Macaca fascicularis: one gene and its partners. The protein of the gene in region 1 interacts with the protein of each later gene in a pairwise test. Links are inferred from orthologs where the notes say so. Each region holds a gene or a part of one and is shown on either strand. Other genes may lie near its edges.

What was found.
Region 2: the proteins of TRIM69 (region 1) and FAM110A interact in binary tests that used the Homo sapiens proteins (3 or more experiments, as listed by UniProt). The two-hybrid records come from large-scale screens. The link is inferred for Macaca fascicularis from reciprocal best matches to the Homo sapiens genes TRIM69 and FAM110A.
Region 3: the proteins of TRIM69 (region 1) and ASNS interact in binary tests that used the Homo sapiens proteins (3 or more experiments, as listed by UniProt). The two-hybrid records come from large-scale screens. The link is inferred for Macaca fascicularis from reciprocal best matches to the Homo sapiens genes TRIM69 and ASNS.
Region 4: the proteins of TRIM69 (region 1) and NEK8 interact in binary tests that used the Homo sapiens proteins (3 or more experiments, as listed by UniProt). The two-hybrid records come from large-scale screens. The link is inferred for Macaca fascicularis from reciprocal best matches to the Homo sapiens genes TRIM69 and NEK8.
Region 5: the proteins of TRIM69 (region 1) and MAGEA4 interact in binary tests that used the Homo sapiens proteins (3 or more experiments, as listed by UniProt). The two-hybrid records come from large-scale screens. The link is inferred for Macaca fascicularis from reciprocal best matches to the Homo sapiens genes TRIM69 and MAGEA4.

What each region holds. Positions count from the first base shown.
Region 1 is NC_088381.1:21,358,692-21,362,203, reverse strand, and holds part of TRIM69 (E3 ubiquitin-protein ligase TRIM69), read right to left. Parts: intron 163-3,512; coding exon 1-162.
Region 2 is NC_088384.1:86,552,363-86,556,507, reverse strand, and holds the start of FAM110A (protein FAM110A), read left to right. Parts: upstream 1-1,333; 5' UTR 1,334-1,570; intron 1,571-4,145.
Region 3 is NC_088377.1:123,498,123-123,502,150, reverse strand, and holds the start of ASNS (asparagine synthetase [glutamine-hydrolyzing]), read right to left. Parts: upstream 2,813-4,028; 5' UTR 2,765-2,812; exon of another isoform or gene 2,674-2,764; 5' UTR 2,364-2,673; exon of another isoform or gene 2,000-2,363; intron 274-1,999; exon of another isoform or gene 238-273; intron 1-237.
Region 4 is NC_088390.1:34,201,702-34,205,684, reverse strand, and holds the start of NEK8 (serine/threonine-protein kinase Nek8), read right to left. Parts: upstream 2,813-3,983; 5' UTR 2,751-2,812; coding exon 2,671-2,750; intron 2,138-2,670; exon of another isoform or gene 2,114-2,137; coding exon of another isoform or gene 2,067-2,113; intron 1-2,066. UniProt on the Homo sapiens protein: Required for renal tubular integrity. May regulate local cytoskeletal structure in kidney tubule epithelial cells. May regulate ciliary biogenesis through targeting of proteins to the cilia.
Region 5 is NC_088395.1:157,991,086-157,995,232, reverse strand, and holds the start of MAGEA4 (melanoma-associated antigen 4), read right to left. Parts: upstream 2,813-4,147; 5' UTR 2,796-2,812; intron 2,192-2,795; exon of another isoform or gene 2,173-2,191; intron 1-2,172. UniProt on the Homo sapiens protein: Regulates cell proliferation through the inhibition of cell cycle arrest at the G1 phase. Also negatively regulates p53-mediated apoptosis.

The DNA.
Region 1 (3,512 bases):
GCCACAGCTTAGCATCAGTGGGTCATGGAACCAATCGTTGCACAGTGGGCAGTGTAGCTCCATAGTAATATCTTGTATCACCACTTTAGAAGGTAGGTGGGCGATTGAATCGTTAATTTCAACATAGTTGCCTGGATCGATGTTGGAGGAGTTGGAGGATACCTTTAGAAAAGAACAGCTAGAATGAGTTTATCTTTCTTTTTGCCCATTTTAACACTCCAGGATGATGGGCTCCATTCCTAAAGGAGCTGAAAATTGGTACAACTAAAGTAAAAGCACATAATCTGTCCTTTGAAAGTGAACCAGTAAATTGAGTGTTTTCTGACATTATGGCATATGATGCTATTTAAACTTTAATGAAGAATCAAAGTAGAGGAAGAAACAGTACTAAGTCAAAGAAATGTACTTTGTTGTACATCTCTCTCTTTACCCACTTTCCCCATGTATCTGTTGAAAGTTTTATTTTCAGCTTCTGCTCTACTAGTTATTACCTTTATTCTATTTTTGTTTTCTAGAAATTATGTATGAAGAATTGGAAAATCAATCAGATTTCTCAGTCAGTAGTATTATATTATCAACCATCCAGGGTCCTCTTCACTCCTTTTTAAAAAACACATTTCAGGCCGGGCGCGGTGGCTCACGCCTGTAATCCTAGCACTTTGGGAGGCCAAGGTGGGCGGATCATGGGGTCAGGAGATCGAGATCATCCTGGCTAACACAAGTGAAACCCAGTCTCTACTAAAAATATAAAAAATTAGCCAGGCATGGTGGCGGGCGCCTGTAGTCCCAGCTACTCAGGAGGCGAGGCAGGAGAATGGCATGAACCCAGAGGCAGAGCTTTCAGTGAGCCGAGATTGTGCCACTGCGCTCCAGCCTGGGCAACAGAGCAAGACTCTGTCTCAAAAAAAAAAAAAAAAAAAAAAAAACCACACACATTTCAGAAACATAAATACAGAAGCTGGCGCAGTGACTCATACCTGTGGTCCCAACTACTCGGGAAAGGAAACTAGGAAGTACCTCAAAGTCATATAAATAAGTAGAGACCAGTGAAAAAGTAGCTACATAGGTAAAGTCCAATAATGCAGTTTTTGGTTTCTAACTCCTCTTTTTCCCCTATTCAATTTAAAAGACAAACGCACAAAACAATAGTTATGTGTGTTAATGGATATGCAATGTGTAAAGAGATAATTTGTGATAATAACAACAAAAAGGAGAGAACAGAGCTGAAAAGGAGCAGTTTTTATAGTAAAAATTTTTGCCTTGTACTATTAAAACTAAGTTGGCATTAATTCACCCTTGATCATTATAAAGTTGACTAATTATAACCCTCAGGTAACTACTAAAGAAAAAACTACTAAGCAATATAAAGAAAAAGAAAAGAGAAAGGAATCAAAATGTTATGCTAGAAAAAAATCAATTAATCACAAAAAAGGGAAGTAATGAAAGAATTTAGAAACAAAAAAGCACATAGAGAAAATAAATAACAAAATGGCATAGGTAAGTCTTTCCTTATCAGTAATTACTTTAGATGAAATAGATTAACTTCTGACTGAAAGGCAGAGATTAGGAAAATGGATAAAAATAATATGAACCGGCCGGGCGCGGTGGCTCAAGCCTGTAATCCCAGCACTTTGGGAGGCCGAGACGGGCGGATCACGAGGTCAGGAGTTCGAGACCATCCTGGCTAACATGGTGAAACCCCGTCTCTGCTAAAAAATGCAAAAAACTAGCCGGGCGAGGTGGCGGGCGCCTGTAGTCCCAGCTACTCGGGAGGCTGAGGCAGGAGAATGGCGTAAAAACCCGGGAGGCGGAGCTTGCAATGAGCTGAGATCTGGCCACTGCACTCCAGCCTGGGCGACACAGCGAGACTCCGTCTCAAAAAAATAAATAAATAAAAATAATATGAACCAACTATAGGCTATCTACAGGAGACTCACCTTAGAACCAAATACACAAACAAGTTGAAAGTAAAAAGTTGGAAAGATAATCCATACAAATATTTACCCAAAAAAGATGTAGTAGCTCTACTTATATCAGGTAAAATAGACTTTAAGGTAAAAATTGTTAAACTTGTTACAAGAATGCAAAGAAGGACATTATCAAGGATATGATAAAAGGGTCAATCCATCAAGAAGATAAAACAAGTATAAACATATACACACCCAACAACAGAGCCTCAAAATATGTGAAGCAAAAAGAGACAAATTTGAAGATAGAAATAGTTCTACAATAATACTTGTAAATTCCAATACCCCACAGTTTCAATAATGGACAGACCAACAAGATAGAAGGTCAGTAAGGAAACAGAAGAATTGAACAACACTGTAAGCCAACTAGACCTAATAGACATATAAAGAACACTTCATCCAACAACAACAGAATATACATTTTTCTTAAGTGTACATGGAACATTCTCCAGGATAGACCATATGCTAGGTCAGAAAACAAGTCTCAATACATTCTTAAAAGATGAAAACCAGCCAGGCACAGTGGCACATGCCTGTAATCCCAAAACTTTGGGAGGCCAAGGTAGGTGGATTGCTTGAGCTCAAGAGTTCGAGACCAGCCTGGGCAACATGATGAAACCCTATCTCTCCAAAAAAAAAGTACAAAAATTAGCTGGTCATGGTGACACATGCCTGTAGTCCCAGCTACTCAGGAGGCTGAGGTGAGAGGATTACTTGAGCCCAGGAGGTCAAGACTGCAGTGAGCCAAGGTTGTGCCACTGTACTCCAGCCTGGGTGACAGAGCAAGACCTTGACTCAGGGAAAAAAAAAAAAAAAAAAAAAAAATCATACAAAATATCTCTTACTACAATGGAATGAAACTAAAAATCAATAACAGAAGGAAAACTGCAAAATTCATAAATATGTGAAAATTAAACAATACATTCTTAACCAATTGGTCAAAGAAGAAATTACAAGTAATATTAGAAAATACTTTGAGATGAGTAAAAACAAAAATGCAGGCTGTGCACAGTGGCTCACACCTCTAATCCCAGCACTTTGGGAGGCTGAGGCAGGCCAATCACTTGTGCTCAGGACCTTGAGACCAGCCTGGGCAAACTAGTGAAACCCTGCCTCTACCAAAAATATTAAAAAAAAAAAAAAAAATTAGCTGGGCATAATGGAACATGTCCATGGTCCCAGCTACTGGGGAGGCTGAGGTAGGAGGATCACTTGAACCCAGGAAGTGGAGGTTGCAGTGAGTCAAGATCACACCTACGCACTCCAGCATGGGTGACAAAACAAGACTCTGTCTCAAAAACAAATAAAAAAACACAGCATGCCAAAACTTATGGGATACAGTGAAAACAGTGCTAACAAGGAAAGTTATAGCTATAAACACCTACATTAAAAAAGAAAGACCACAAATCAATAACCAAAATTTTCCCTAGAACTAGAAAGACAGGTACAAGCCAAACCAAAGCTAGCAGAAGGAAAGAGTAAAGAATATAGGCAGAGCATGGTGGCTCATGCCTGTAATCCCAGCACTTTGGGAGGCGAGGCCAA
Region 2 (4,145 bases), on another chromosome or scaffold:
AAATCTCTTTTAGCTACTTCACTTTTATTTTTATTTTTTTGAGATGATCTGTTGCCCAGGTTGGGGTGCAGTGGCATGATCTCAGCTCACTGCATCCCCCACATCCCAGGTTCAATCTATTCTCCTGCCTCATCCTCCCGAGTAGCTGGGATTACAGGCTTGTAGCACCACGCCTGGGTAATTTTTGTATTTTTAGTAGAGACAAGGTTTCACTATGTTGGCCAGGCTGGTCTTCAACTCCTGACTTCAGGTGATTTGATCGCCTCAGCCTCCCAAAGTGCTGGGATTACAGGCGTGAGCCACTGCTCCTGGTGGCTGCTTCATTTTTAATGGCTGCATAATATTCCTCATCAGAAAGTGGGAATAATTAGGCTAGTCGGCGTGGCTCATGCCTGTAATTCTAGAACTTTGGAAGGCTGAGTTGGTAGGATTACTTGAGTCCAGGAGTTTAAGACCAGTCTGGGCAACATGGCAAAACCCTGTCTCTACAAAAAATACAGAAAATACCGGGTGTGGTAGTGCACACCTGTAGTCCCAGCTACTCGGGAGGCTGAGGTGGGAAGATTGCTTGACCCCAGGAGACTGAGGCTGCTGTAAGCTGAGATCCCACCACTGCACTCCAGCCAGGGTGACTCCATCTCAAAAAAAAAAAAAAAGGAAAGAAAAAAAGAAAGTGTTAATAATTAAAAGTACTTTTAGAGGGTTATGTCATAAGCCTTGACAAGAGTTGTTCTGTAAAGCTACCTGGCATGTAAAACGCTCAATTAAGTTAGTTAGCTCTTCCACAGGATGGAATTATATAACCAACCCCTTTCAAGAGGCATTTAAGTTGTTTCCATTATTTTGTCATGATGAATAAGGCTGAGCAATATTAATCTTTGCTCATATCTTTGGTCATTTCCTTTGTAAATTTCAGGACTGCTGGGTGTGCACATTTTAAAATTAACTCACTCATCATCATGCAGTTAGGAGAACAGAGAAAGGAAGGGGCTGTGCGGGGTCACATAGGGAGTTAGCGTCAAAGTCAGGACTAGGAATCAACCAGGGTCCTCTAACTGGAGCTCTTCCAGCTGGTGCCCTAGAGGAAGTCCCAGCTGCAAGCCGGAGGGAGGAGGAAGGGAAAGAACCAGGCGCCGGGTCTGAAGCGGCGGCAGGAAGAAGGTGGGGCCGGTTGGGAGGTGGGGGCGGAGCTGCTGAGCCGCGCCGCTCCTTCAGGCTGCAGAAGCTAAGCGGTCGCCTGGCAACCCCGGCGGCGCGCCGTTCGAACGGAAGCGAGGAACCAATCAGGAAGTCCGGGTCGAACCATTCTGGAGTGAAGGGGGGCGGGGTGCTCACTTCCCCTTTCTCGGCGCTCGAGGGACTTTCCCTGCGGTGGGGGCCTTCGACAGTCAGGGCCACCCGCTCAGCTCGACTGCGGAGGGCAGTTCCGAAGGGGACCCCAAAGGTGCCCACGCGGGGCTGGGGCCTCCTGGGCGCCGTTGGGAGCGGTCACTACCAGCCCGGGTCCGAGCTGTCAGCCTCTCCGAAGACTGCGCGGAAGGAGCCGGGACACGCCTAGGACGAGCTCCAGGTGAGGGCGCGGGTGGTTCCGGGTGCGACCCGGGGTCTGGGGGACTCTGTTCCCCGAGCGCCTGCTGTCTGCTTTCTCCCCGCGTCGTACCTGCGTGTCATTTCACAGATGAGGACTCTGAGGTTCAGAGAGGCAAGTGTCCTGGCTCGGCGAGCTCTGGCAGAGAATCCAGTTCAAGGCTTTCCGCCCTACCTCGCAGCCCCTAGTCTAGTCGTATCTAGACTTGCCTTGAGAGGTACAGACGGGCAACTAGTAGTCATTTTCCCAGCATTTTATCGGCAGGGACACGGCCTATGGACCCCTGGCTGGATCACCTATCCCTGCGCCCCACACTGTCCTCGGGATACCCCTTTTGGGCGTCTTTCTTCTCCGCAGTCCGGGGTTGGACTCGGCTCATTTGGCGCCCTTCTGCCTACTGGGCTCTGAACTCCAGAGCTCCCCCTCTCAGAGGACCACTCTTTAGCCATCGGATGGCACTGACATTTCTGGGCTGGATATAGGGGCAGCAGATTCTCCAGCCCCCAGAGTCGCTGCTGGCCTCTTGGGAATCTTCCCCGGTCTGGGGAAGGGAATAAAGCCAGTCCCTGAACCAAAGCCACTAGTCACCAGAGACTTTGGAATTGGGGGTGGGGCCGGGATTCCCTCAGGAGGAGCATCTGATCTAGGCCAGATCCTGCTCTGTCTCCTGGGGACACCCCTTGCCCCCTAGGTTGCTATTGTCAGTCTCCTTTTGTAGGTGGGGAAACTGAGGTTCTAAGAAGTTAAGCCTCTTGTCGAAGTCCCAGTCAGACAATGCAGTGGTTATTAGCTCCTGGTCCCTCTGGCTTCAATCTTAGAATCCTTGACACCCAGAGTCATGCATTTTGAGAGTCTTGAATCTCTTCATAAGGGAGTTACATATCTCCTCTCCTCTGGAGCCTCCCCCTGGCTTTGGGGACAGGATCTCCGAACACTCAGAAAACAAGCCTTTCCTTTATTCTTTCAACAAATATTATTGACTTCATAAGCCTTGCTCTTGTTCTTGCATGTTTTGTTTTTCTCAGTAGCATTTACTCCACCTTATGTCCTATATATTTTACTTATTAGCAAATTTATCACCTTCTCCCACTGTGATGCAAGGCAGGGGCTGAGGCAATTGAGGTCCTCACCACCAGTGCAAAATTTAGGGATGCCCTGAACCTCAGTAATCAAGATAACTGAAACTAATGTTCATGGACCATTTGTATGTTCTGCAGGCAGGAGGTTAACTCACACAGCCTTCATGAAGCACAGTCCTCCCATCTCATTCTCTCTCTCTCTCTCTATATATATGTGTGTGTGTATGTGTGTGTGTGTATATATATATGCATATTTATAAATCGTGAAACCACTGCCCTGTCCCTGACTTGCTCTGTGACATTGAGTAAGTTTCTTCAGTCTCTGGGCTGAGCTAAGAAGTCATGATGGTGCACTCAGGCCTGGGCAGAGGGCGGTCTAGGATAGGAAGCAGACTTGGTTGTGGATTACAAATACATCCCCCAGACTCAGCTGTCCCACTTCTAAGCAAAATGATGTAGATGCAGTGATGCTGCAGTGTGGTTTGTAGGCAGAAATGAGACACACTCTAAGTGGCCACCAGTAGGGGATGATGGGAAATTCTACTGTGCAGCTGGGAAAAAGGACATGCTCTTTATGTACTGATGTGGCACCAAGAACAAAACATACTATTGAGCAAAAAGAACAAGATGAAAATGGTACACATAGCATCATGACGCCATATGTGTAACAATGGAGACAGAATATATATTCATACTTGCCTGCATCTGCCTAAAGTCTCTCAGGAAGGATAAGCAACTGTCTGGTCACGATGGTGCCTGCAGGGAGGAGAAATGGGGACAGGGTGGGAGGAGGTTGTTGTTGTTTTTTTTTTTTAAACTTCACTATCTTTACCGTTTTTGAATTTTGAGTTGTGTGCATGTATCATCTATTTTAAAAATTTAAAAATTAAGGCCAGGTGCGGTGGCTCACGCCTGTAATCTCAGCACTTTGGGAGGCCAAGGCGGGTGGATCACTTGAGGTCAGGAGTTTCAGACCAGCCTGGCCAACGTGGTGAAACCTCATCTTTACTAAAAAATACAAAAATTAGCCGGATGTGGTGGCACGAGCCTATAATCCCAGCTACTTGGGAGGCTGAGGCAGGAGAATCACTTAAACCTGGGAGGTGGAGGTTGCGGTGATCCCGGTGCACTCCAGCCTGGGTGACAACAGGAAAACTCTGTCTAAAAAATAAAATTACATATATATATGTGTGTGTGTGTGTATGTATGTATGTGTGTGTGTATATATATATATATATATATATATATATATGCATGTTTATAAATCATGAGACCACTGCCCTGTCCCTGACTTGCTCTGTGACACTAAGTTTCTTCAGTCTCTGGGCTGAGCTAAGAAGTCATGATGGTGTACTCAGGCCTGGGCAGAGGGCGGTCTAGGATAGGAAGTGGGCTTGGCTATGGATCTGCCTCCCACTCACCTTTCTAATCCTGCGTGCCAGGTCCTTCCCCAAGACCTTGCATGTGTTATCTCTCTC
Region 3 (4,028 bases), on another chromosome or scaffold:
AGCCTAGCCAGAGATCCCAGCCCCACTCTCTCCATCCCAAAATCCCTCAAAGATCCAAGAGACTTTCCAGATTACTAGAGTCTCCTCTCAGGTTGTCTTGACAGTTAAATGCCCTCTCTTTATCTGAACTAGCTGCAGGTACAATATAATGTATACAACAGAAAATCATACTGCTGTAAGTGTAATACTAAGATACACAGCTCTTTTAAGCATTTCACCATATTACATCTAGGTTACCTCTAAGTGATTTATTCAGATGTGATTGAAGAAAATCTAAAGGGAAAAGAAAACAATTTAATTTGATATCAGATATCCTGGCTTTATAACAAACAAAACATTTTAAGTTAATAGAAGATACAAAATGTTCACTATCAAAATGTCCCAAGTGACAAAAATGTTCTCAAATATTTCTGTCTCAAAGTTGCATTGTTCAGTAAGGAAGCAAATTAGGTGGGACATATACAGCAACAACATCCCTAATAAAAACTTGGCTCATCCCTATAAGCCAGGAAGCAAGTAAGTCATCCTCACATATGTTAATTACTTTCCAATTTCCAATTCTCAACTGTGAAATAAAGCGCTGTTTTATTTGGCTGCTGCCAGCTCAAAATGACTGTTTTTATTAAAACATCTCTAACTTGAAAAATAACTATTTTGGTGTTTTTTTTAAAAAAAAACTGCAAATTGCAGCAAATGCCCAGATAATTTGGGATAAACACCCTAAGGGAAAAATATATATTCAAGTTGCATAAGTCACTTTGAGCAATCCTTTGGTGATATTTCATTTATATCTAAAAGCACCAAAGGTTTAGCTGGCTTTTCCAGAAAACCAGAACCAAATAATATATGGTTATAATGAAAATCATCTCAAGCAATTTGGAAATGAAGTACCACATGTCCTATGCTGTCCCTTCCATGCACTTGACCAAATAGCCCAAATAGCCTACAACAAATTATTTGAGATTTACTGGAAAAATTCCGTAAGATTTAAATGAGATGACTACTAATAAGCCATCTGCCTTTGACTCTATACCAGTTAAAAATGGGTTAGGAAAGTGCTTTGAAAATCAAGTGTGGTCATCAGGGAATCATTTACCTAAGTTTTCTTAACGCCGCTTAGTGAATCCCTGTATTAATCCTGCTATAATAAATACACGCTAACCTCTAAACTGGAGGGGAAAGAGGGAGAACAAAGGGGCATGTAAAGTACACTTATTTTTTCTAGTAGGAAAAGTCCAATTAAAACTCTAACCTATTATTTTTATTGGTATCGGTCTTATAGAAGGGCAAAGTTCCTACTACCGCAACCTGTTCTCAATATTTTTCTTATTTCTTCTTAAACTTCTAGAGCAGTGCTGTCCAATAAATATGTGAGCCACGTATGTAATGTTAAATATACTAGTAGCCCCATTAAAAGAAAAAGGTGAAATTAATTTTAAATATACTTAACTCAATATGTCCCAAATAGTATCATTTTAACATGTATGTAATCAATATAAAAAATTATCAAGCAGATATTTTACACTGTTCTTCCTACTCCAACGACAAAATCCAGTGTATTTAACACAACACACCTCAATTAGGACTAGCCAGCATTTCAAGTGCTCAACAGCTACAGGTAGCTAGCGCCTACCGAACCGGACATGGCAGTTTCAGGGCATTTAATTTCTATTCCACTTTACGTTACTTAAAACTTCACCCTCTCACCTTACTTTTATGTTAAGATGTCAGTAAGTAACCAACTACAGACAAGTTCAAGCCCTATTTTACCTCTAATTACTCTTACAGCAATGCTATGAATCATGATTTAAAATTAAAAAAAAAAAAAAAAAAACTGCTGTTAAATTATTAGTCAAGCGCCCAGGGCAATGGACAGTAAAGAAATAATGTAGGCCAACGGCCGAGAAGAAAACTGTCCTTTTATTTAAAGCTATAACAATCATCTGAAGCCAGCCCTGTAAAATGACATCCACTAAAAAAGGCACGCTAGTTCTTCTACCTTTTTCTGTACTTGGCCGCCTGTGTCCCTAAACAGACCTCTTCTCGGCAGGGTTTGCTCAGCAAGTCACTTGTTAAGTCTTGCAGTCTACAGAGAGGGGTGGGAACTGGCAGGGGTGGCGGGGTGAGAGCGGAGGAGGAAGGTGAGGGGTCCAGGTGAGGACGGGGGCAGTTGAAGGGGAAAGCACAGACACCGAGGCGGTAATAAAGCCAGAGTCTCTTCTTCCTAGATCAGGACCACGCGACGCCTGACTGCGCCCTGGCCACCAGCACGCTCCGACCAGTCCGCCGCAGGGGCCCGGACTGCGAAAATGTCCACAGGCTTCGACGCCACATAGTAAAAAAAGTACACATGTAACATTTACAGGGACTCAGACCGCCGCTGCCTTCTCTCCGGAGCAGCCCGGCCTCCCGGTCGTGGTTCCCTCTTGATGCCTCAGGGGACCAGGACAGAGAGGTCCTTCCGCTACCTGCCAGTTGCGCAACAATCGCTAGGCGTCCGCCCCGCCCTCTCTACCGCAGGAGCCGCAGCATCAGCAGGCGCCCCCGAACTGCGTCTGCCGGGTGCCAGGCTTAAGGACGCATCCTCCTCCCCCTCTTCCCGGAGCAGCCGCAGGGCACACCAGGAGTGTGCTGGCGCTGGGCGCACGGCGCGGAGCGCAGGGTCCGGCTCACCTGGGCGTAAGCAAGTCAAGGAGATACGGTGAGCGGGGGCCGGGCAGCGGACAGCGTGCTGGGCGGCGAGACTGCGGGCGCTTATACCGACCTGGCTCCTGTAATGCGTGCGGGAAGTTTCATCATGCCTGCGAGGACCAACCAGCGCGCATAGGGGCGGGGCCGCAGGGTGGCCAGGGCGGAGCAGGATTGAGTGGGGCGGTGGGAGGGCGCAAGGAGGAGCTCTTTTGTTTCCAGCACATTGCGTCTCAGTGCACCTGTTTAAGGATAGCCTCAGAGATCCGTCCAGACTACCTGCTGTTCTGACAATTAGGGAGTTTTCTGTACTTGATTTGTTCTTAGGGAAATCATCACCGTTTATTTGTCGCACTACCGTCTGATTTAGTATGCAGTGCAGAGAAAAGCTTGTTCTAAGAAACTGATGCGTGAGGCCTAAAATGTCCTTATAAAATCTATTAATAAATCGGGGCCAAGAGTGGTGGCTCACGCCTGTAATCTCAACACGTTGAGAAGCCAAGGCAAGAGGATCACTTGAAACCAGGAGTTCAAGACCAGCTTGGGAAACACAGCGAGATCACATCTCTACAAAAAATGGTGGCACACCTTGTAGCCCCAGCAACTCAGGAGGCTGAGGCAGAGGGACGGCTTGAGCCCAGGAGTTTGAGGCTGCGGTGAGCTCCACTCCAGCCTGGGCGACAAAGGGAGACCCCCATCTCTAAAACAATAAAATAAAATCTAAATCTGATTGATACATGAAGCCAAAATACATCAGTGGTCCTTAAACATTTTAAGTACAAAGATTCCTTTTAGAATCTCAAAAAGTATTTTGTCAGCCTGCCTCCACAAGATGATTATGTGCTTTTAAGTATCGCTTTGATGAAGAAAAGACATCACGATTTAAGAGAGTATCATAACACTCTTAAATCGTATTTTGCTAATTGCATCAGCACTGAAATAAATTGAGAAATAGTAAAATTATATGTGCATGACCTACTATGATCAGACTACAGTCAATGCTCGGGGAGCATGCAGGTTTGATATCCCCACACAACGCATTCCCGGCTAAATCAAAAATGCCAACAATTTAAAATCCCTAAGCGCAGAAGATGGAGTAGTCGCTTAGTAGTTACAGGCAAGAGCAAAGATGAGAGATGACTTGTTCTAAGGATCATTCTTGCTGGAAAGTTTTCAGTATCAAACAGACTTTGCTGTATCCTAATTGATGTATTTTAAACCTGAGACCAATGTGGGAAAGTAATGTGGGAAAGCAATGTGGGAAAGTAGGTCTTCTATCTACATTTTACAAATCTCTCCCCCATCCTTAAGAAGGTTCTTTGTAATTCTCCCCACCCTTG
Region 4 (3,983 bases), on another chromosome or scaffold:
GCCTCGGCCTCCCAAAATGCTGGGATTATAGGCATGAGCCACCATCCCAGTCCCAGAATGTAATTTAAAAATCTTACCATCCTGGCTAACATGGTGAAACCCCCTCTCTACTAAAAATACAAAAAATTAGCCAGGCGTGGTGGCAGGCGCCTGTAGTCCCAGCTACTCGGGAGACTGAGGCAGTAGAATGGCGAGAAACTGGGAGGCGGAGCTTGCAGTGAGCCTAGATTGCGCCACTGCCCTCCAGCCTAGGTGACAGAGCAAGACTCCGTCTCAAAAACAAAAAAAAAAACAAAAAAAAACCTGAAAACTGGGGCCGGGCACGGTGGCTCACGCCTGTAATCCCAGCATTTTGGGAGGCTGAGGCGGGCAGATCACTAGGTCAGGAGATCGAGACCATACTGGCTAACATAGTGAAACTCCGTCTCTACTAAAAACTACAAAAAAATTAGCCAGGCATGGTGGCAGGCGCCTGTAGTCACAGCTGCTCGGGAGGCTGGGCAGAAGAATGGTGTGAACCCAGGAGGCAGGGGTTGCAGTGAGCCGAGATGGTGCCATTGCACTCCAGCCTGGGCAACAGAGGGAGACTCTGTCTCAAAAAATAAATAAATAAATAAAAATAAAATAAAATAACAATAAATAAAAAATTAGCCAGGCATTGTGGCGTGTGACTGTAGTCCCAGCTACTCAGGAGGCTGAGGCAGAAGAATTGCTTGAACCTGGGCGGCGGAGGTTGCAGTGAACTGAGATCGTGCCACTGAACTCTAGCCTGAGCGACAGTGCAAGTCTCCGTCTCAAAAACAAAAACAAAACAAAACCCTTTGTGGCAAATGAACCCTTTTACCTCAGGTTATCAGGCCATAATCTAGTCCCCGCCCTCGACAATTACATTTCATACCATTCTCTATCTTGCCCACTACATTCCAACTATGCTAGTCTTTTTCTCAGTTTCTTCAATGCTCTGTTTTCCCATGTGAGAAATTTCACATATGCTATTTCTTTTGCCTGAAAAGCTCTCACTTCACCTTCAGACTACTGGTTCTCATTCCTCAAGTCTTGGCCTTAAATCTCACTTCTGGCCTGGCGCGGTGACTCACGCCTGTAATCCCAGCACTTTGGGAGGCTGGGGCGGACGGATCACCTGAGGTCAGGAATTTGAGACCAGCCTGGCCAACATGGCGAAACCCCGTCTCTACTAAAAATACAAAAAAAATTAGCTGGGCATGGTGGTGCGTGCCTGTAGTCCCAGCTACTCGGGAGGCTGAGGCAGGAGAATCGCTTGAACCGGGGGGCAGAGGTTGCAGTGAGCCGAGATCACGTCACTGCACTCCAGTCTGGCGACAGAGGGAGGGAGACTCTGTCTCAAAAAAAAAAAAAAAAAAAAAAAAATTCAAAAAAATTTAGCCGGGCGTGGTGGCGCACGCCTGTAATCCTAGCTACTCTGGAGGCTGAGGCACAACGATTGCTTGAACCCGGGAGGTGGTGGTTGCAGTGTGCCGAGATCGCGACACTGAATTCCAGCCTGGGTGACAGAGGGAGACTCTGTCTCAAAAATCAATCAATCAATCAATCAATCAATCTCCCTTCTCAGAGAATTCTTCCTTGACCATCTCATATAAGTATTCTCCCTGGTAATGTACTCTAGCCTCACAACCTGCTAATAACCCTTCATAACTGCTATAACTTCTTAATTCATAATGTTTTGTTTATTGTATAACTTTCCCATAGTCAGTAAGTTCCAAGAGGGAAAAGACCACGCCTGTTCCGGTTCTAACAGCATACCCAGGGCCCAAAGCCTGACATACATAGCTGGCACTCAGTATTTGTAAAACCAATGAATAAAGAATCTAACAGAACTCAGTGGGCGGGCCAATGGGCTTGTCAGGGGCGTGGCCCACGTAGAGGCGGAGTCTCCCCGCGGGATAGGGACCGGAAGCTTGGGCGGAGCTTCCCAGAGTAGCGTACACGCCTTGGGGCGGGTCTAGGCGGGCGGCGAGTTCGCGGGCAGAATTGGGGCTTATTTTCCCTATCCTTTAGCAGTTTCCTCCCCCAGAGCCCTGGCTCACCCGAAGGCACCTCTCCCCACCACTCGGATCCGCTCGTACTTCTCCATCTCATTTCTTAGCGTTTCACTTCCGTCTCCCCCGCGGCGCGTGCGCGGACCCAGCCACTCTGGGCCCCGCCCCTTCACGGCGAGCGGCTTGCGGGGCGGAGCCAGCGCGCTAGGTGTGGGTTTCGCCACGCGTCCGTATTTGTGGGCCTGCACCACACACCTGCCGCTGCGACACGCCGTCACCTTTCCCCTCACGACCCTGCCCCACGCAGTGTCCAAGGGATAGGGCAAGAAAATAGGGCGCGCCCCGCAATGGCGGGCACGGTACCCGCCCCTCCCAAGCATATACCCAGCCCTTGTAAAGCTTGCTAGACTAAAAGGATGTCGCGTTCCTGAGAGTTGCACCCCACAGGCCGGGCGGGGGTGGGAAGAGGATCGACCCCCTTCTTGCCCACGAGTGACGCTATTTCAGGAGAAATCGGGTTCTCTTTGGCACACAAACGATAAACACAACCAAAACGACCGAGGCCAGCGCTCCTGGGAGAAGGCAGCAGAGTTAGTTTCGTGTTTGCCTAGGGAGGGACGAGGGAAATCCCAAGTTGTGCAAGTTGATTCACCTGGGGAGGACATGACACGGTCTCAGGCCGTCCCGACTAGTGAGCACCGCGCTGGTCAGGACTCTCAACTCGCTTTTCATACACACGCACTGCAGGAGGGTAATCTGCCCTCAGTGCTCATCTAGGGTGAACCCCATGGGGGAAGATGGGGGCGGAAGTGAATCACTACCTGAAAGCATCAAGGGGAAAAGGAAAGACCGCGGTTTCGCCGAAATGAGCTCAAGACAAAGCCTAGAGGCAGAGGGCTGGTTAGTGTGACTAGCTAGGCTCTTTACCGGAAGTGAGGTTAATTCCAGGTTCTCCCGGGCTCCTGCTCAGCTGGAGCTCTATAAAAACTCAGTATTCGGCCAGGCGAGGTGGCTCACGCCTGTAATTCCAGCACTTTGGGAGGCCGAGGCGGGCAGATCACCTGAGGTCAAGCGTTTGAGACCACCCTGGCCAACATGGTAAAACCTCATCTCTACTAAAAATACAAAAAGTTGGACATGGTCGTGCTCGCCTGTAATCCCAGCTACTCGGGAGGGTGAGGCAGGAGAATCTCTTGAATCTGGGAGGCGGAGGTTGCAGTGAGCCGAGATCGTGCCACTGCACTCCAGCCTGGGCGACAGAGTGAGGCTCCATCTCAAAAAAAAAGAAAGAAAGAAAGAAAGAAACCCTGCCCCGGCTTTCGCAAGGGTACCCAAACCCGCCCACGGGGAAGGACTGCTGATGGGCGCTGGCTCAGGCCGGTGTCGGCCGGCGGACAGAGCAGCTCTGTGAGCCAAGGGGAGGGGCGGGAAAGCCGCTCACCCGGGACACCAGTGCTCTCACCTAGAAACCGACTGCGCCTTGATTAACCTAGGAGTCCCACAGGGGTTAATGTGTAACCTTGGAGCCATAGGGGAGGAAAACACTCAAACGGCTTGGTCCGTGGGTCCTTGCGCCTCAGGTTTTTGGCTTTTTCCTCCCTCCCGCAGCACCTTTCCCCTCCCTCACTTCTTCCCTCCCCTCTTCTATTACCACCCTCTTCTCCCTCCCCGCCCTCACCCCCGCTTCACTTCCCTCGCTAGCTCTCAGCGGCTCCTCCTTTCGCCCAGTTTACCTAAACTTTCCCCGAAAGCAGCCGCCTCGCTCGGAGGCGGGAGAGGAAGCCCGCGCCACAGTGAGGGCAGGCTGACACCTAGTGGCCAGGAGCCGCAACTGCTGCAAGCTACCGGCCTGGAGAGCGCGGGTCACCCCAGCAGTCCCGGCAAATCCGCGGTCTTGCTTGCCCAGCCTCCGGGGAGCCAGGCCGAGGGCCGGGACTGTCTGAGGGAGGACTGTGACAGCCGCCC
Region 5 (4,147 bases), on another chromosome or scaffold:
CCTCGATTCTCTCTGACCCCCAAAACGTCCCAGCACCAAGTCTGGGGTTTCCCTGGATTGATAGCAGAAGGGGAACTGGATTCTGCCTGGTGAGGTTGGAGGGCAAGGAATGGGAAATGGGGCAGCGAAGTGGTAGGGGATTTGTGGGAATGGGGGTTAGAGTGGGATCTTGGGGGACCTCAGTTCCCTCTCAGGTTTCTGACTTTGATTCCTGGCAGATCCTGGGCCATGCCCTCTCCTAACCAGCCCTGCCCTGATCACACCAACCTCTGACTCCAGAGTCTCCTGTGGCTTAAACAAACGGGTTGCAACAGGGGCGGTGGTGGGGAGCAGCCCAGCCTGAGAAGTCGGCCTCCTGGGTGGTCCAGGGCTGGCAGTAGGGATGGTGCTGGATTAATTGGGGCCCTCTATCTGGGGGGGGGCCCTTCTGAGACCTCCCTCAGCCTCTCACCTTGCCTCCTCAGAGCCTGGGCTCACTTCTCTCTGCTGATGTCAAGCTCCCCCTAAGGAGAACCTTGCTTCTCTCTAACTCCCAATGAGCAAGTCAGTGGCGTCACATTCGGGTACCAGGGACTTTCCTGGATTGACAGCAGGGGCTGAACTGTATTCTGCCAGGGTGGGGGTTCCGGTGGGAGGGGTGTGGGTGGAAAGGCAGAGCGGAAGGAGATCTGGGTTGAGGTATAGGAGTGGTGGATAGGGGTGGGAATGGCAATGAAGTGGGGGTGGGTCATGAGAGTGGGGATTGCAGTGGACTCTTGGAGGCCCTCAGCCCTCCCTGAGATTCCTGACCTTGATGCCTGGCAGAGCCCAGATAGTGCCCTCTCCTAAGCATCCCTTCCATGGTCACACCACGCTCTGACTCCAGAGTCTCCTGTGGGGACCGGGTGTGGGGACAGGTGGTGGTGGGGTGGGAAGCTGGAGGCGGCGGCCTAGCCTGAGAAGTCAGCCTCCGCGATGGTCCAGGGCTGGGACCTTCTATCAGGGATAAGGGTGTCCTGAATCCTCCCTCAGAGTCTGACTGCCTGCTCACAAAGCCTGGGCCCCCTTCTGTCTGACAATCTCAAGCCGTTCTTCAGAACCAGAACCTCGCTTCCCTCTAATCCCCAATGCACAAGTCAGTGGCATCACATCCGGCCACCCAGGGCTTGCCTGGATTGAAAGCAGGGGTGTAACCAGATTCTGCACGGATGGGGATGAAGGTGGGGGGCATGAGGCTGGTGGGGGGTGTTGGGGAGCATAGGGGCACAGGTGGGGGATGGGGGTACAGATGGGGTTGGGAGTGCGGATGGGAATGGGAACAGGGTAGGGGATAGGAATGGGGTGGGGGACGCTCCACCCTCTCCTAGGGTCCTGATGTTGAAGGTTAGCAAAGCCTGTCCCCACCAGTCTTGCACTGATTACACCAAGCTCTGACTGAACAGTCCCCTGCGGCTTAAGCGGCAGTGGAGTGGTGGGCCCCAGACTCAGATGTCCGCCCACGAGTGACCCAGGGCTGAAAGCAGGAGTGGTGCTAGATTATTTGGGGTCATCCATCTGCAGTGGGGAGGGTCTCCCGAGTCCTCCCTCAGCTTCTCACCTTGCCACCTCAGAGAGCCTGGGCCGGCTTCCCTCTGCCAAGCCCAAGCTGCCTGTCAGACCAAGAAGCTAGCTTCTCTCTAACCCCCAATGCGCAAGTCACTGGCATCACATCCGGGCACCTGGGGCTTCCCTGGGTTGAAAGTGGAACTGGAACCCGATTCAGCCTGGATGGGAGTAGAGGTTTTGGGGTGGGGATATGAGGGCAGTGATTCAGCCTGGATAGGGGTAGAGGTTTGGGGGTGGGGATATCAGGGTGGTGGGAGTTTGGGGAGGATAGGAGTACTGGTGGGGAATGGGGGTGTAGATGGGGTTGGGAGTGTGGATGAAAATGGGAACGGGGTGGGGGACCCTCAGCCCTCTCTTACAGTCCTGAGGTTGACGCCTGGCAGAGCCTGCCCTCACCAGTCTTGCACAGATCCCCCCAAGCTCTGACTCGAGAGTCGCCTGTGACTTCAGAGGCAGTGGAGTGGCGGGTGACCCAGACTCAGAAGTCTGCCCACGGGTGGCCCAGGGCTGGCAGCAGGAATGGTGCGGGATTATTTGGGGTCGTTTATCTGGGGTGGGGGCCTCCTAAGTCCTCCCTCAGCATCTCACCTTCACTCCTCAAAGGGCCTGGCCCGCTTCCCTCCGCCAATCCCAAGCTCCCTGTCAGACAGAGAAGCTCGCTTCTCTCTGACCCCCAACGCGCAAGTCATTGGCTCACATCCGGGCACCTGGGGCGTCCTGGGGTTGAAAGCGGAAGCAGAACCCGATTCAGCGTGGATGGCAGTGGGAGGGATGAGGATGGTGGAGGGGGCAGGCTTTTTGGGGTGGGAGACGGCGGTATGAGGATGGTGGTGGATTGGGGAGGATGGATGGGGTGCTGCAGAGGGATGGGAGTGTGGATGGGTTTGGGAGTGCGAATGGGAATGGGAAAGGGAACAGCGTGAGGGATGGGAAGGGGGTGGGGGATAGGAATAGGGGTGGGATAAGCTCAGCCCTCTCTTATGGTCCTGAGGTTGATGCCCGGCAGAGCCTGCCCTAACCAGTCTTGCACTGATCACCCCAAGCTGTGACTCCAGAGTCCCCAGCGACTTCAGAGGCAGTGGCGTGGTGGGTGCCCCACACTCAGAAGTCCACCCACGGGTGGTCCAGGGCTGGCAGCAGGAGTGGTCCAGGATTATTTGGGGTCGCCTATCTGGGGTGGGGGCCTCCTGAGTCCTCCCTCAGCATCTCACCTTGACTCCTCACAGGGCCTGGCCCGCTTCCCCCCACCAGTCCCAAGGTACCGGTCAGACAAAGAAGCTTCTCTCTAACCCCCAATGCGCAAGTCAGTGGCATCACATCCGGGCACCTGGGACTTCCTTGGGTTGAAAGTGGAAGCGTGGATGGGAGTGGGAGGGGTGACGTTGGTGGAGGGAGCGGGTATTTTTGTGTGGGAGATGGTGGTATGAGGGTGGTGGGGGGTTGGGGAGGATAGGGTTGCTGGTGGGGGATGGGGGATGGAGGGTTGTGAATGGGAATGGAAACGGGGGGGGATGGGAATGGAGGTGGGGGATGGGAATAGGGGTGCGGTAAGCTCAGCCTTCTCTCATGCTCCTGAGGTTGATGCCCGGCAGAGCCTGCCTTCACTAGTCTTGCACTGATCACCCCAAGCTCTGACTCGAGTCCCCTGAAACTTCAGAGGCAGTGGGGTGGTGGGTGCCCCAGACTCAGAAGTCCGCCCATGGGTGGCCCAGGGCTGGCAGCAGGAGTGGTCTGGGACTATTTGGGGTCGTCTATCTCGGATGGGGACTCCTGAGTCCTCCCTCAGCATCTCATCTTCACTCCTCACAGGACCTGGCCCCCTTCCCTTGCCAATCCCAAAGTGCCGGTCAGAGAAGCTCGCTTCTCTCTAACCCCCAGTGTGCAAGTCAGTGGCCTCACATCCGGGCACCTGGGGCTTTCCTGGGTTAAAAGCAGAAGCGGAACCCGAATCAGCATGGATGGGGGAGGGAGGGGTGACGGTGGAGGGGGTGGGAATTTTGGGGTGGGAGACGGTGGTATGAAGGTGGTGGGGTGTTGGGGAATATACCTGGGCTAGTGGGGGATGGGATTGTGGATGGTTTTTAGGAGTTCGAATGCGAACAGGGTGGGGGTGGGAATGGGGGTGGGGAAGGGGAATAGGGTTGGGGGACATTCAGCCCTCTCTTTTGGTTGTGAGGTTGGTGCCTGGCCAACCTTTCCCCCGCCCATCTTGCATTGATCACACCATACTCTGATTCCAGAGTGCCCTTCGACTTCAGAGGCAGTGAGGTGGTGGGTGCCCCAGACTCAGAAGTCTGCCCACAGGTGGCCCAGGGCTGGCAACAGGAGTGGTCCGGGATTATCTGGGGTCGTCTATCTGGGGTGGGGGCCTCCTGAGTCCTCCCTCAGCGTCACACCTTGACTCCTCACAGGGCCTGGCCCGCTTCCCTCTGCCAATCCCAAGGTGCCAGTCACACAGAGCAGCTCACTTCTCTCTAACCCCCAATGCAAAAGTCAGTGGCATCACGTCCAGGCACCTGGGGCTTCCTTGGGTTGGAAATGGAAGCGGAGCCTGATTCAACGT